2 linked regions of the Mus musculus genome follow. The protein of the gene in region 1 purifies or fractionates together with the protein of each later gene. This does not show direct contact. Links are inferred from orthologs where the notes say so. Each region holds a gene or a part of one and is shown on either strand. Other genes may lie near its edges.

Region 1 (6,902 bases):
GTGTAGAGGAGTTCAGAGACAGATACTGAACAAAAGGAGCAAGATTAGAAGGGATTCAGGGCTGGTGCAGGGGGTATGTGACTGCTCCTTCAAGACAGCCTCCAGCTTAGGGTTGTCTTACTGGAACAAAATGGCTTGGAAAGAAGAGAGATGGGGAGCTCCTTGCTTTGACTGCTGCAGACACAGCTGATTGCGTAGAAATTTCCCCAAGAAGGATGATGGGCTAGGATCCAAACACATGAGAACAATTTGTCCAGGGCTGACTGTGGGTTTTCTCCAGTGTCTTCAGTGGGGAGCTTTACCCAGAACATTGCAGTGATTTGAATGGCAACCTAGTTCTTTTAAAAGTTTTTCATCTTAAAATAGTGCTTGAATTAAAGAACAGAAAATGTACTAAATTGAAAGAAAAGTGTACTATGGAGAATACAGAAGAAACTTGAATGAAAACACACACTGGATTCCAGAGCAGGACCTGTCAACAACTTAGGAGTTACTGGCACTGAGTCACATTGAGAATGTGACTCCCATCTTAACAAACAAACCAAGAATATGTTAAAGTAGTGAGAGAAAAATAGGTGGGAAATATGTTGTAGTTGGAAGAGGATAAATCAAGTATTCAATCCTCTATCATACAGAAGTCTCTGTATAGAAACATTCAGAGCGTGAGTAGACGGGCAAGTAGAGTAGAGTTTGAAAGTAGTCTGGAATACACAGAAAAACAGGATGGTCAATGTGGCATCCAGAACCGAAGTGAAACAAACGGGGGGCCCTTTAGTGTTGAAGCCACTAAGTAACCTAGAAAGTGTGAAGCTGGTTCTGCGTCTCACACTGTGAACCACATATATTTCAAAATGGCTAAGCATACAAGTGGGTTTTTAAAGAATAAGCAGTAGACAGACACGCTGATCCTTGTAGAAGAGGAAGGACTTTTTAACATAGACCCAAGTCCAGAGTCATGAAGATCTCCCAATGCTATGCAAAATTATGGAAATTTAAATCCTCTTTAAGGCAAAAAAGCACCATCAGCAAAGTCAGAGTCTACAAATTCTGCAGCTCATGTGAATACTAATCTCAGTCTCATTCATTATGAGAGATGCAAAAGAAAGGAGTTTTTTTGAAAAAGAGACAAAATGATAACACCAGTGTCAGCACACCAAGCTGGTAGGGCTATAAGGAAATAGGCATTTCCACAGTTTTGCTCATGCAGTGTAAACTGATATAACCAGTATGACGAAACAGGCTTCACACCACAGTCCTGGCTGGCTTGGAACTCATGGGGATCTCCCTGCCTCTACCCCTTGAGTGCTGGGATAAAGTCATATGCTACCACACCCAGATAAAAAGGATATAGGAAAGCTTGTGTGGAGCTAAAATGCATGTCTAGTAGCTGCGGTGTTAATCAGTGCCTGTAATTCCAGCAGTTCTAGGTCATCCTTGGCTACATAGGTAGCTGGGAACCAGCTTGGGCTCTGTGAGACCCTGCCTCAGAAAAGCAAAGAAAATACTTAGGGCCTTTCACCTGTCCCGTGTGTTCTGTCATCGTCCTCCACCCCCTCTTCCTTCCACTTCTATAGCCTAACAAATCAAGTGCAGCTGCTGGGCAGAAGCATTTCATAGAAAATGGCCGCACGTAGGGAAGTAACTCCCAGAGTGTTTCTTAACAGTACATGTATAGCAACTAGTGAGCACTGAGTTCAATGCTACATTATCAACACCTCATTCCATCCTCTAGGTGACCTAACTTAGGAGTGATGCTACTGAGGAAACTGATTACAAGCCTGGAATCCAGGCCTTTGATACTTGCAGCCAGCTACTGAGCACCTTTTAGGAAGTGGGTGGTACAGGGTGCTTTGGGACAGGTAGGCGTGGAGACTGGGGGCTGTGTGTGCAGTTTGAGAAAAACATTTTAAAAAGAGGGAACCCATATCCAAGACGACAGAGCCTGGAGAATCCCGGAGGGTGGGGGAAAAGTGTCCAGTGGTGTTGAGGGCTTAAGAAATAATAATTTTAAAAAACACTACCCTTCTTTGAGGTTTGCACTGACATTGTTTCTATCACACCACACAGTCAGAACTACTCCTATGAGATACTTGGAATCCAATTCTACACAAAGGGCAGGACCAGAGCCATAGAAATGTGTAAGGACAACAATGCAGGATCATGGTTGTACTAATGGAGGTGCCCCAGTGACCTGTATTTAAGTCTGCACCTTTACAAGTTTTGTGTCTTCCTCCATAATGCATACCTACTGTATACATTTTGCTTTAAATTTTAAAGAAAAAAAATGTAACTTTGGTGACATCCGAATTGATCCTTTTTTTTTTTCCATCCAAAAGGTCACTAGAATAGCGGGTTGTTGTTGTATCTCTAGTACTGGGAACAAACCTGAAGGCCATGTGGCATGCCAGCCTATCATCACCTGAGTTGTATTTTCCCCTCCCCCCCACCCCAACTCTAATGGTTCTTCATAATCACATTCCACTTTTCCGTTTAGTAGGAGCAGACCAGAGAAGCTGTGCGTGTTCTACGTGACAAGAAAAGTTTCAGGTCTGGACTCTTGACCTGGTTTGATCCACACGGGGTCTCCCGCAGCATCACATTTGAAGAAGTACGGAAAGGCGGGCAGGAGCCACGTGAACGCGTTCAAGCTTGGCTGCTGCCGCTCGCCGTAGCCGCATTTCCAACATGGCGGCTCCCCAGGATGTCCACGTCCGGATCTGTAACCAAGAGATTGTCAAATTCGACCTAGAGGTGAAGGCGCTTATCCAGGTACAAATTCTTAGGCTCCTGTCCGGCTCTCGATGGCCGCCTTGACATCTTCCAGAATATTCGCGCCTGGTCCGGTTCCAGGATGGCTCCTAAGGCACCATTCGGTCGGTTCCCCGAGATCACTGACCTTCAGGCTTTTCTTTTGTGAACTGTTGGTTTGCCCACCCCTGAGTTACCCTAACACGCCGCTCCCTTTCCTTGGACTGCAGCCGTGCTGGGCTAGCCCGCCCACCCGCATTCTCGGCTGTAGCCCCGCCCCACCCCTCGCCCTGCTCGCCTCCCACGCCCACTTCCCTAAGTTAGGGACCCTGAGGCACCCAAAGCCACCTGGCCCGACAGTCCCTGCCCGAAGCTAACTAAGTTAACCTGGGACGTGGTTGTAATTTTTTGAACAAAGAATTCAAATATTGTGCAAGATCCTGGGTCAGAAGGCAGGCAGTGCCAGTATTAGGACCTGGATGGGGAAAGCCAGCCTAGGAAAATCATTTTAGAGCTTCCCTACCCGGAAACAGACTGGAAAATGAGGCGCTTATCTGGAAGCAGGTCTTAAGTAGGAGACAGTAGTGCAGGAACACAAGCAAGAACAGGGAATGTAGAAATGGCTCCAGAGTTTGGCAAAAAGAACCCAACCGGCTCAGAATACAAGCTGTGACAGCAAATAAGGAAAGGGTAGGGGTGTGACTCCGCTGGTGAGGACTTTGCCCAGCACTGGGTTCGCCATCCCCAGTGCTGCATAAATGGGCTGTGCCTAGCTGTTGGGGTAAGCTTGGCTTTACTAGCCCCTATAAAAAGGAGCATGGAGAGTAGTGCTCTCTGGTAAGCCAGATGTACACTCTGCCACATTAGCAGTTTATCCTGTGCTGTGAGGAAGTGTTGATTTTGTGAGTAAGCTAGAGAACAGGTAAAGAAACGCCGCAAACTTTACTCCTGAGATGTGCAAACAAAAAAAATGGGCCAATTCTAGAAAAATAAACAAGATTTATACAAGTGAGATTACCAGAGGCTGGGGGTAAATTTAGCTCAGAGTAGAGTTAAAGTTTAGCCATGTGCAAGGCTCTAGTTTCAGTCCTCAGAATGCACATGTAAATACATATACATACATAACACAGAGTTGCTAGGGTAGTGGCTCTAGCACTTGGGAGGCATAAGCAGGACCATCATGCATTTGAGGCCAGCCTGTACTACATAGAGTCTTCAAAAAAACAAAACAAAAAAACCCTTATATCCAAAATTTGAAAAGTTGGGTTTTCATATTATATCATAATATAAAATTATGTAATAGCATCATAATACTTCATATTATCATAGTTTCCTGTTAGGTAGGCCTCTGGTGACATATGTGTTTTGGGTTCTTATGGTTACTAGTGAGTAAGCATAGCCCCATACATTGTATTCTTTCAGTGTTCCAGCTATTCTGCTAAGTGTTCTACACAGAGAAATACCATCTTGACGTAGGTAAGGTGAAGAAATGGAGGCACAGAGAACTGAAGTTTTCCAAGACTGCACTAATAAATTGCTATACGCAGGATTTGAATATATGTAGCTTAAGTCTAGAACCTGCTCTAAAATTTGGCTCTCATAATTCTGACTTTCTTTCCAGAAGCAAATTCTCAGTTCATCTTTAAACGTTTTTGACTTGCGACAGATGGTTTGTAAAAATCAGACTAAATTAACTTTGTTACAGGTCACTAGGGATTTAGTTGGAAGGATCTGAACTTACAGTATTTTTTAGATGTCTATTTCTGTTGAACATGGAAGCTGTTTAAGCCTTTCCTAGTGGCACTTTGTTAAACATCTAAGACGAGGTTGAGGTTTACCTATCTACACACACAATGCATATGGAGTCTATGTGCATGCAGGGGTGTGTATTCATGTCTGTGTGCATTTGTGCATGCGTGCACATGAGTCTCTCTCTCTCTCTCTCTCTCTCTCTCTCTCTCTCTCTGTGTGTGTGTGTGTGTGTGTGTGTGTGTGTGTGTTTTGCTGCTGTTGAAAGCCAGGGCTCCAAGTATGCTCTGCAAGTGCTGTACTACTGAACTGTGCATCCAGTCTGTTTATTCATATTAGGCTCTCGGTGTTAATCTTACAAGGAATGAGGAAGCTGAAAATGAGGAGTTTGCTCTTGTGTGGAGGAGAGCAGCACTGAGCAGGACAAGGTAGAGCTTGGGCCACCTTAGCTGTGTCTGAATCTGCTTTCTCACTGTGCCGATGAGGACACTTCATTTCATTGACGGGAGAAAGGTCCCTCATCTCTTCCTTGCCTTCCAGGATATTCGAGATTGTTCTGGACCCTTAAGTGAGCTTACTGAACTGAATACTAAGGTGAAAGAAAAGTTCCAACAGTTAAAACAGAGGATCCAGGTAAGTGAGGCTACAAAGCCTGTTCTGGAAGGGTGGGTAGCAGGGGTGCGTGCTCTGGCCAAGAAGAATTTTTGCCTGAGAGTTGACCAGGTCCTTCACATGCCACCTGGAGAGAGTAGGAAACATTGTGACTGTGAGGGTGACTGGACTAACAAAGTTTGGAACCTACACACTCATTCATTCCCTACTTGAGTCCATTGCCAGAGTTTCCTTGGTGTTTCCGGTGCTATTATTTTGCACAGTAGTAGCCTCCTCCCGATTTCTGGAGTTACCGCCCCCACCTCATGCTCATGACCTCACTTTCCCTGTGGTGCGAGTGTTGTCTCAAAACACAAATGAGAAGGAAATGTGACTAACAGCCATCTCCACTGCTGTGTCCTAGGGATGAGTGCTACGAATCTGCCCAACACTGGCTGGGTCTAGAACCACCTGGCTTTGCTGCATCTGGTAAATGATATTGTCCCCAAACTGTCCTTCAACAGATACTGTTCCTTAGCAGATGAAGACAGTCTCTTCCAGAGCTGGCAGGAACGTAGGCAGAAGGAGAGCTTAGACAATGCTTCTGCCTTGAACTGACTTCAGAATGTCAGCACTGTCACTGTACCTGGGTGATCTCCATCTCCGCTATTGCTTCTTCCATCTGAACTTTTAAAAAGCATCTTGCTTTCTCTGCGTTATAAACATATCATATGTGCGGATGTATGGGTCCACAGCCATTGGTCTCCTTTATGTGTCTTGGGGATGTCCTTTATTTCTTCTCTGCACCCCTCCTTCTCCCAATAGGTAACTGTTCTGATCTGATCCTTCCACGTCTTCCCAGGGTTTGTTTCGCTGATATGTTCCCACTGTAGGAGTGGACATGCTGCAGCCTAACCATGTGGGGGGCATGTTTATACAGCTGTAGTTTTTTCTAGCCATTTCTTTCCTAACAGGTATCCATTTGGGCTGCTTGCCTGCTTTAATTCTTAGAGCTAATTCATTTTCTTAAAATGCCTTTCTTCAGACTCTGCAACTCTAAGGAAGACTGTCTCCTAAGTGCCCGCATGCTTACCTGGTGTTTATTTCCTTCCCTGGGTTTAGGTAAATGTTCTCACGTAGATTCACTCATTTGTCATGTTCTTACCCCTGCCTCCCTCCAGCCTCTCCTTCAGCATAACTGTGTGGCTGGCATCTGGCAGGGCGATAGGCCAGCGAGGGAGGTTTTATCTGCGCTTCCTCAGCATTTGCATGCCGTCTAGATCTGGAGACTCAAAAAGCACTGGGGCAAATGCTTTTTGTATTTCAGCAAGGCTGTATGCTAATAGGAGAGAACTGGCCTCCATCTTCCTACACAGTACATACATCGGGCAGGGCGCTGTGTAAACCTCTGTCTGCATGGTGGTCTGCTGCTGGAATTCGGCCACAGCACACTTGTATCTTTCCAAAGAGTCTGGGTTCTCTGACAACTGCCAAGCGGCCTTTTCTAAGGAAACTGTTTCTCTTTCCTCTCTTCTATCTCCCATCTTCCTTGTCATCCATTCTGCTTCTTAGTGACCCACTGCCAGGCAGAAGAGACCAGTGTAGCAAAAACTAGAATACAAGCTCTGTGTGCAGTGACGGCATTGTAGGGAATGGGGTGGGGTCTAAACAAAAAATATAGCAAATAACTGGTGAGATTTGCACTTTTTTTTTCTGAGACAGGATCTCAGTGTGTAGTTATGGCTGTACTGAGACCCGTCCTGCAGACCAGGCTTGCCTCAAACTCACTGAGATCCAGCTGCCTCTGCCTTGAG
Region 2 (5,495 bases), on another chromosome or scaffold:
TTAAGTTTAAGGTTAGCAAAGAGCTACTACAAACACTGCCAAATGCAGAAGTTTATCACTTTATTAGACTACTTATTTCCCTGTACAAATAAAACTAATTGCACAAAATATAAATTGAGATATTAATTTGAACATTGTAGCAACTATATAAGCAATTACTGGAGAAGTCTGCGAAAAGCACATTTTAAACCGGGTTTAAAAAGTGTTTTATATCATCACCCCTTCAGAGCTGAAACTCGCACCACAGCTGAACATAACAACACTCAAAGAATTCAAAAGCATGCAACAAGCAAAATCTGAAGAAGTAACACACAGCAACTCAACCACTGACCATAGCTGATGTAACAATAAGAGTAAAACTGTTCTTGTTGTTAAGACACATACAACACACGGATCCAACATACGGGCATTTCCTAGGCAGTTGAGCCCACGTCAGAGGAATCAGGGGTCATCAGGAGATGATCAGTAATGACTAAGGGAACAAGAACTAGCAAGTATACTGAGGTGTGTGGCATCAGCTTACACCAAATCCTTGAAATCCTAATCTAAAAACCAGGTTTGCCTGAATGTCAACATCTCCACCAGAATCAGATATTCAAACCCTTAAATAATCAGAAGACAGTAATCTTTGTAAGAATTGAAGGCTCACCTGTACCAGATGTACTGACGCAAAAATAACAGATGATCTAGAATAAAAAGAAACACTTGTCCTTTAACAGTTACTTGTAAACAACTTATAAAATAAAGCCAACTTAATATATACTATAACTTTTACAAGATCATATAACTTTTTATATTAAAATCCAAGTTTGCCAGGCAGTGGTGGCACATGCCTTTAAATCCAGCACTTGGGAGTCAGGGGTAGGAGGATTTCTGAGTTTGAGGCCAGCCTGGTCTACAGAGTGAGTTCCAGGACAGCCAGGGTTACACAGAAAAACCCTGTCTCAAAAAAACAAAACAAAACAAATCCAAGTTTATGGTTTTTGAAACACTGAAATATTTCCCAACTACAAAATTTCAAAATGTTTTGAGATGTTAAATCAAGCCATTACTAGAAATTATAGTAAATTGCTCTTTAAAATAAAACTATACAAAATATAAATCAAGATATAAATTTGAACATTGTAGCAACTATATAAGCAATAACTGGAGAAGTCTGTGAAAACCCAATTTTAAAAGGGTTTAAAACTGTTTTACATCATCACACTCTCACACTCTCCTCCTCCTCCTTTTTCTTCTCTCTCCTCTCTCTCTCTCTCTCTCTCTCTCTCTCATGCACTCTCTTACACACACACACACACACACACACACACACACACACACACTTCCATGCACGCAGCTAGGCACACCACGGAAGAAAAGTCTGAAGAACGTCATCTCTAAGTTGCAAAATAAAGAAAATTCTATTAAAATATGTCGGTATTTATACTTTCAGTTTTTTCTACAATTATTTTGATCAGTTATATATATATTTTCTAAATAAACCAAGACTTCATTTATGATTATGAAAATTGAATACATTAGAACTTATATAAAATCACAGCTAGCCACAAATTTTCTATTTCTTTAAATTGAATTTTCTCTTCATAAGGAACTCAGATGTAAATTGAGGACGGCCTTCAAGGCCCGAAGGCAGGTAGTTACATTCCCAAAGAACACTGTGGCCAAGTCCCCACAGCCAACCATTACAGCAGAGGGCTGGAGAGCTGCCTCAGTGCCGAGGAGCACTGGCTGCCCTTGCACAGGACCTAGGTTTGGTTCCCTCCCAGCACACTCATGATGGCTCACAAACACCTATAACTTCAGCTCCATGGGATTCTACATCTCTTCAAATCTCCATGGGTTCCGGCACACATCTGGTACACACGCATGTATGTACTTAGGCACACACACACATGCATACATATAATATGTAATAAATAAATATAAAACAACACTTAACTTGTCAGCCTAGAAGAACTATATCAATCTGTTAATTAATATTATAAAGCCCTCATGGTTCAATAAGGCTGATGCTCAACTCTTTTTCAGACTCCTCCTGGTTCATAGGTAAAGTGCATAGTTGTGAAAGGAGAAAAACCTGTCTATGAACTATATAATACATAAAATGCAAGGCCTCTTTACCTCTGATTGCTTTTGTGATGATGAATGATGCACCGTGCTTTCGGTTGCCTCTGAGCTAAAATAAAATAAATAAATAGATAAAAACTTACAGTTGAGAATTTTATAATACTTGAAACATTTAAATTTATGCTTCTCTACTTATATCCAGAGCACTGAATACCAGCATCAGTATTTTAAAACTTCTTACAGGTTGCAATATGAACTGTGTGTAGTAGCAATAAGAGTGAGAATTATGTTCATAGATCCCTGTCAGGAAGAACCCCAAGGTGAGGTTAGAAACAGTTTCCACATCAAAACACCAATGAAAAGAGAAGGAACCACAGGGGCAGAGCTGAGCTGTGTGGTAGAGAACTTGCCTATGACGTTCAGGGGCCTGGGTTTGAACAAAGACAATACTAATTGCCCAGTCAATGCAGTCTATAGGGCAGGCACAGAGACCTAAAACAGATTTCACTAAGAGGAAAAGTGATTACCTATTGTGTATCCATGGAGACAATGTTATTAACAAAACACAGATATGTAACTACTACAGTAATTAATTTGAGTCCACAAACGTAAACTGAATGGCACTGTCTGTAGAATAAAGAATAACAAATACAGTGAGTAGAGTGCTTTCAAGTTCTACCAAGAATAAAATGAATAAGTAATCAGTAAGAACAGATACGTTACTCCCTAGGACGCTCGCTTAACAAACATGAAGGAATCATCAGGGAACAATTTGGCACAGTGGAGGGATATAAAGTTGATCCCAGGCAGAGCTTATAGGGCAACAGCTGTAGGAAACAGATGTAGAAATCAATAAAGAAGGCAGATAAGAAAAGGCAGAGGACAACGAGATTTCAATATAAGTTGACTCCGTGTTGTTTTTTTAATCAACGTATAGTGCTAAGCATTGAGACAGTATTACAGACATTTCTGAAATGCTAGATATCTTTATCCAACTTAAAGGCGGCAGCAGCCTCTCAATTTCATCATCTACAAAATGTCCACGTCACTCACTAGAAACCGAAACGAATAACAATATATGCAGCTTTTTGCCATTACAAGACCTAATTGAAGACAAGCAGAATAAATACTCAGAAGACAAGGTAAAGGAGCTCACTGGGCCAGATTTAAGAGTCTTCCTAGCCATGCTGCTTCCCCAGGGCCTAACACACGGGCATGCCAGGCACTTGATACCATGTATGTCAAGTAAATGGGCCTTGGGCTCCTGCTTTCACCCTATGACCCGAAGGCTTTCCCTAGGAAACTAGTAACTCCAGGGTCCATAAGTTGGCAAACACCACAACTTTGTCTCCAGCAGAATTGGAGAACCGCTGCTTCTTTCTCTCCACTCCCTTGGCATTCTACTCAGCCAGCACTTCGGGCTTGGTAATGAGAAACGTTCACTGGATTGGCTATCTCTCCTCCACACTGCAAGTTCCATGAAAACACTGTCTCTGAATGCCCAGCAGCCTGCACCATATCTGGGGTCCGAGTGTGTGTGTGTGTGTGTGTGTGTGTGTGTGTGTGTATCACACACACACACTGAGAGAGACAGAGACAGAGAGAGACAGAGACAGAGAGAGACAGAGACAGACAGACACACACACACACTAGTAAATGCGTATTACTGAGACTTTTAAAGGACGATAGAGTCCTGCGAAATTCTCCCGCCACAGGTAACAAGATTACAAGGCAAGTCCGGATATGACAAGGACCTAGGGAAGAAGAGTGACACTGACCTGCCGAGAGGGTGACAGCCTGAGTGGGGATACACAGCCGAATTCGGAGCCAAGGCTGACTACAGACACCCTTCAGCGAGCCCTGGACCCGGCAGCCCCGCCGTTGCCAGGAGACAACACAGCTGCTATCCCCGCTCCACTTGCACTGCGTGGCACCGCGACGTGGCTTTACACGCCCCGCGCCCGCGCCCGCGCCATGCCTACAGCCTTAAAAAGAGAGCCCGGCTCACCTGCACTTCTGTCTCAGGTGGCCATTCGGTATTGACCAGCAAGTCATAGAGAATCGTCTCCTCCTCGTCCGCAGAGCCGGGACTCAAAGCCGGCGCTGACTCGGGGGCCGCCATGTTGGCCGGGAACAGAGTGGTGGAGGGAGGGGCACTACGGCGACTCGCGCGGGTCATACTTTCCTGGACGCGGCCGCTGGTGATTGGCAGAGTGAAATGAATTAAGTGCGGAAAGGGAATGCTAAAAATGACAGAAAGGGAATGCTAAACTTGACAGATCTGTGGGTCTAAGAATGGCCTTGTCTTGTATGAGATATGTCTTGGACCCTGGTCCACTTTTTGTTCATTTGTGCCTGAAATGAGTCAAGTCACTGAACTTTTCTTACCCAGTCAGCGTCTACGAAGCTGCAAGAACCTCCCAGAGTGCTGGTGTTCATGTACAGATTCTTCTGCAAACACAGAACGTGTTCGGAGAGTGGACTTTAAATGTACCAAGGGGTTATTCAGTTCACAGGAAGGGTGCTTTAGGCACCTAGAAAAAAACAGTGAGGCTGATGAAGACACCCTGTAACAAGGAGAGCTTGTCAGCTGTGTAAGAGAGGATGTCCTAAAAATCACCATACAACATGGACTAGCCTCAGACCCAGTCCTCCTGCCTCAGACCCAGTCCTCCTGCCTGAGCCTCCCCAGTGCTCAGAGTACAGAGATGTGCCATCAGGCCCAGCCCTGGGCCTTCAACTATAGGTAGAAATTGGGTTCACTGGAAGTCAGGAGAGAATATATCAGTTAGGAGGTGCACAAGACATAGGAAGATTACGTTGCTATAACAGACAGGGTGAATAGAGAGGCCAAGCTGAGAAAGGGTGTGGAGGACGATAAAGATAGGGCAGCTTGAGGATTCCCTAGAGGGGAAACTTACCTCATTTGCTTGCTCGTTTATTCATTCATTCATTCATTCATTCATTCATTCAGCATATGCCTGTCTTTGCAAGGCCCTTTAGTGTAAGCAGAGCCAATTACGACCAAGACGACCACATTGTTGTTGAGTTGAAAAGAAGTGAAAATTCACAAGATACCTTTCAGAAATTATCCTGTAGAATAACCAACTTAGTGCATTAGGCAATGGTATAATAAAATGCACAACTGGAGCGTGTCTAATTGTTCCCATGTCTCTCCAAGTTCATCTGCACCTTGTACTCTCACAGCTAAACTTTTGCCACACACACACACACACACACACCATTCAACTTTGCTGTTTCTAAGACAACAGACACACATAAACATCAGGAGATCTGACACGGATGTTCTTTGTACACAGAGGTTGTACCTGATGTGGCTCTGCTATTGCTCTCTCATCTCCTTCCGGTTGTAGTTTAAATGCCACCTTCCCTCCGAACTCTTGTTCCTGTCTAAGTTCACACTC

Evidence for each region. The genes of interacting proteins can lie anywhere in the genome.
Region 2: the proteins of Bnip1 (region 1) and Nbas purify together in Homo sapiens (co-immunoprecipitation; 3 studies listed by BioGRID and IntAct, with this or other methods). This does not show direct contact. The link is inferred for Mus musculus from reciprocal best matches to the Homo sapiens genes BNIP1 and NBAS.

What each region holds. Positions count from the first base shown.
Region 1 is NC_000083.6:26,778,408-26,785,309, forward strand, and holds the start of Bnip1 (vesicle transport protein SEC20), read left to right. Parts: upstream 1-2,671; 5' UTR 2,672-2,685; coding exon 2,686-2,769; intron 2,770-4,859; exon of another isoform or gene 4,860-4,925; intron 4,926-5,037; coding exon 5,038-5,130; intron 5,131-6,902. UniProt on the Homo sapiens protein: As part of a SNARE complex may be involved in endoplasmic reticulum membranes fusion and be required for the maintenance of endoplasmic reticulum organization. Also plays a role in apoptosis.
Region 2 is NC_000078.6:13,267,848-13,273,342, reverse strand, and holds the start of Nbas (neuroblastoma-amplified sequence), read right to left. Parts: upstream 4,217-5,495; 5' UTR 4,193-4,216; coding exon 4,079-4,192; intron 4,023-4,078; exon of another isoform or gene 3,849-4,022; intron 2,180-3,848; coding exon 2,125-2,179; intron 687-2,124; coding exon 650-686; intron 1-649. UniProt on the Homo sapiens protein: Involved in Golgi-to-endoplasmic reticulum (ER) retrograde transport; the function is proposed to depend on its association in the NRZ complex which is believed to play a role in SNARE assembly at the ER. Required for normal embryonic development.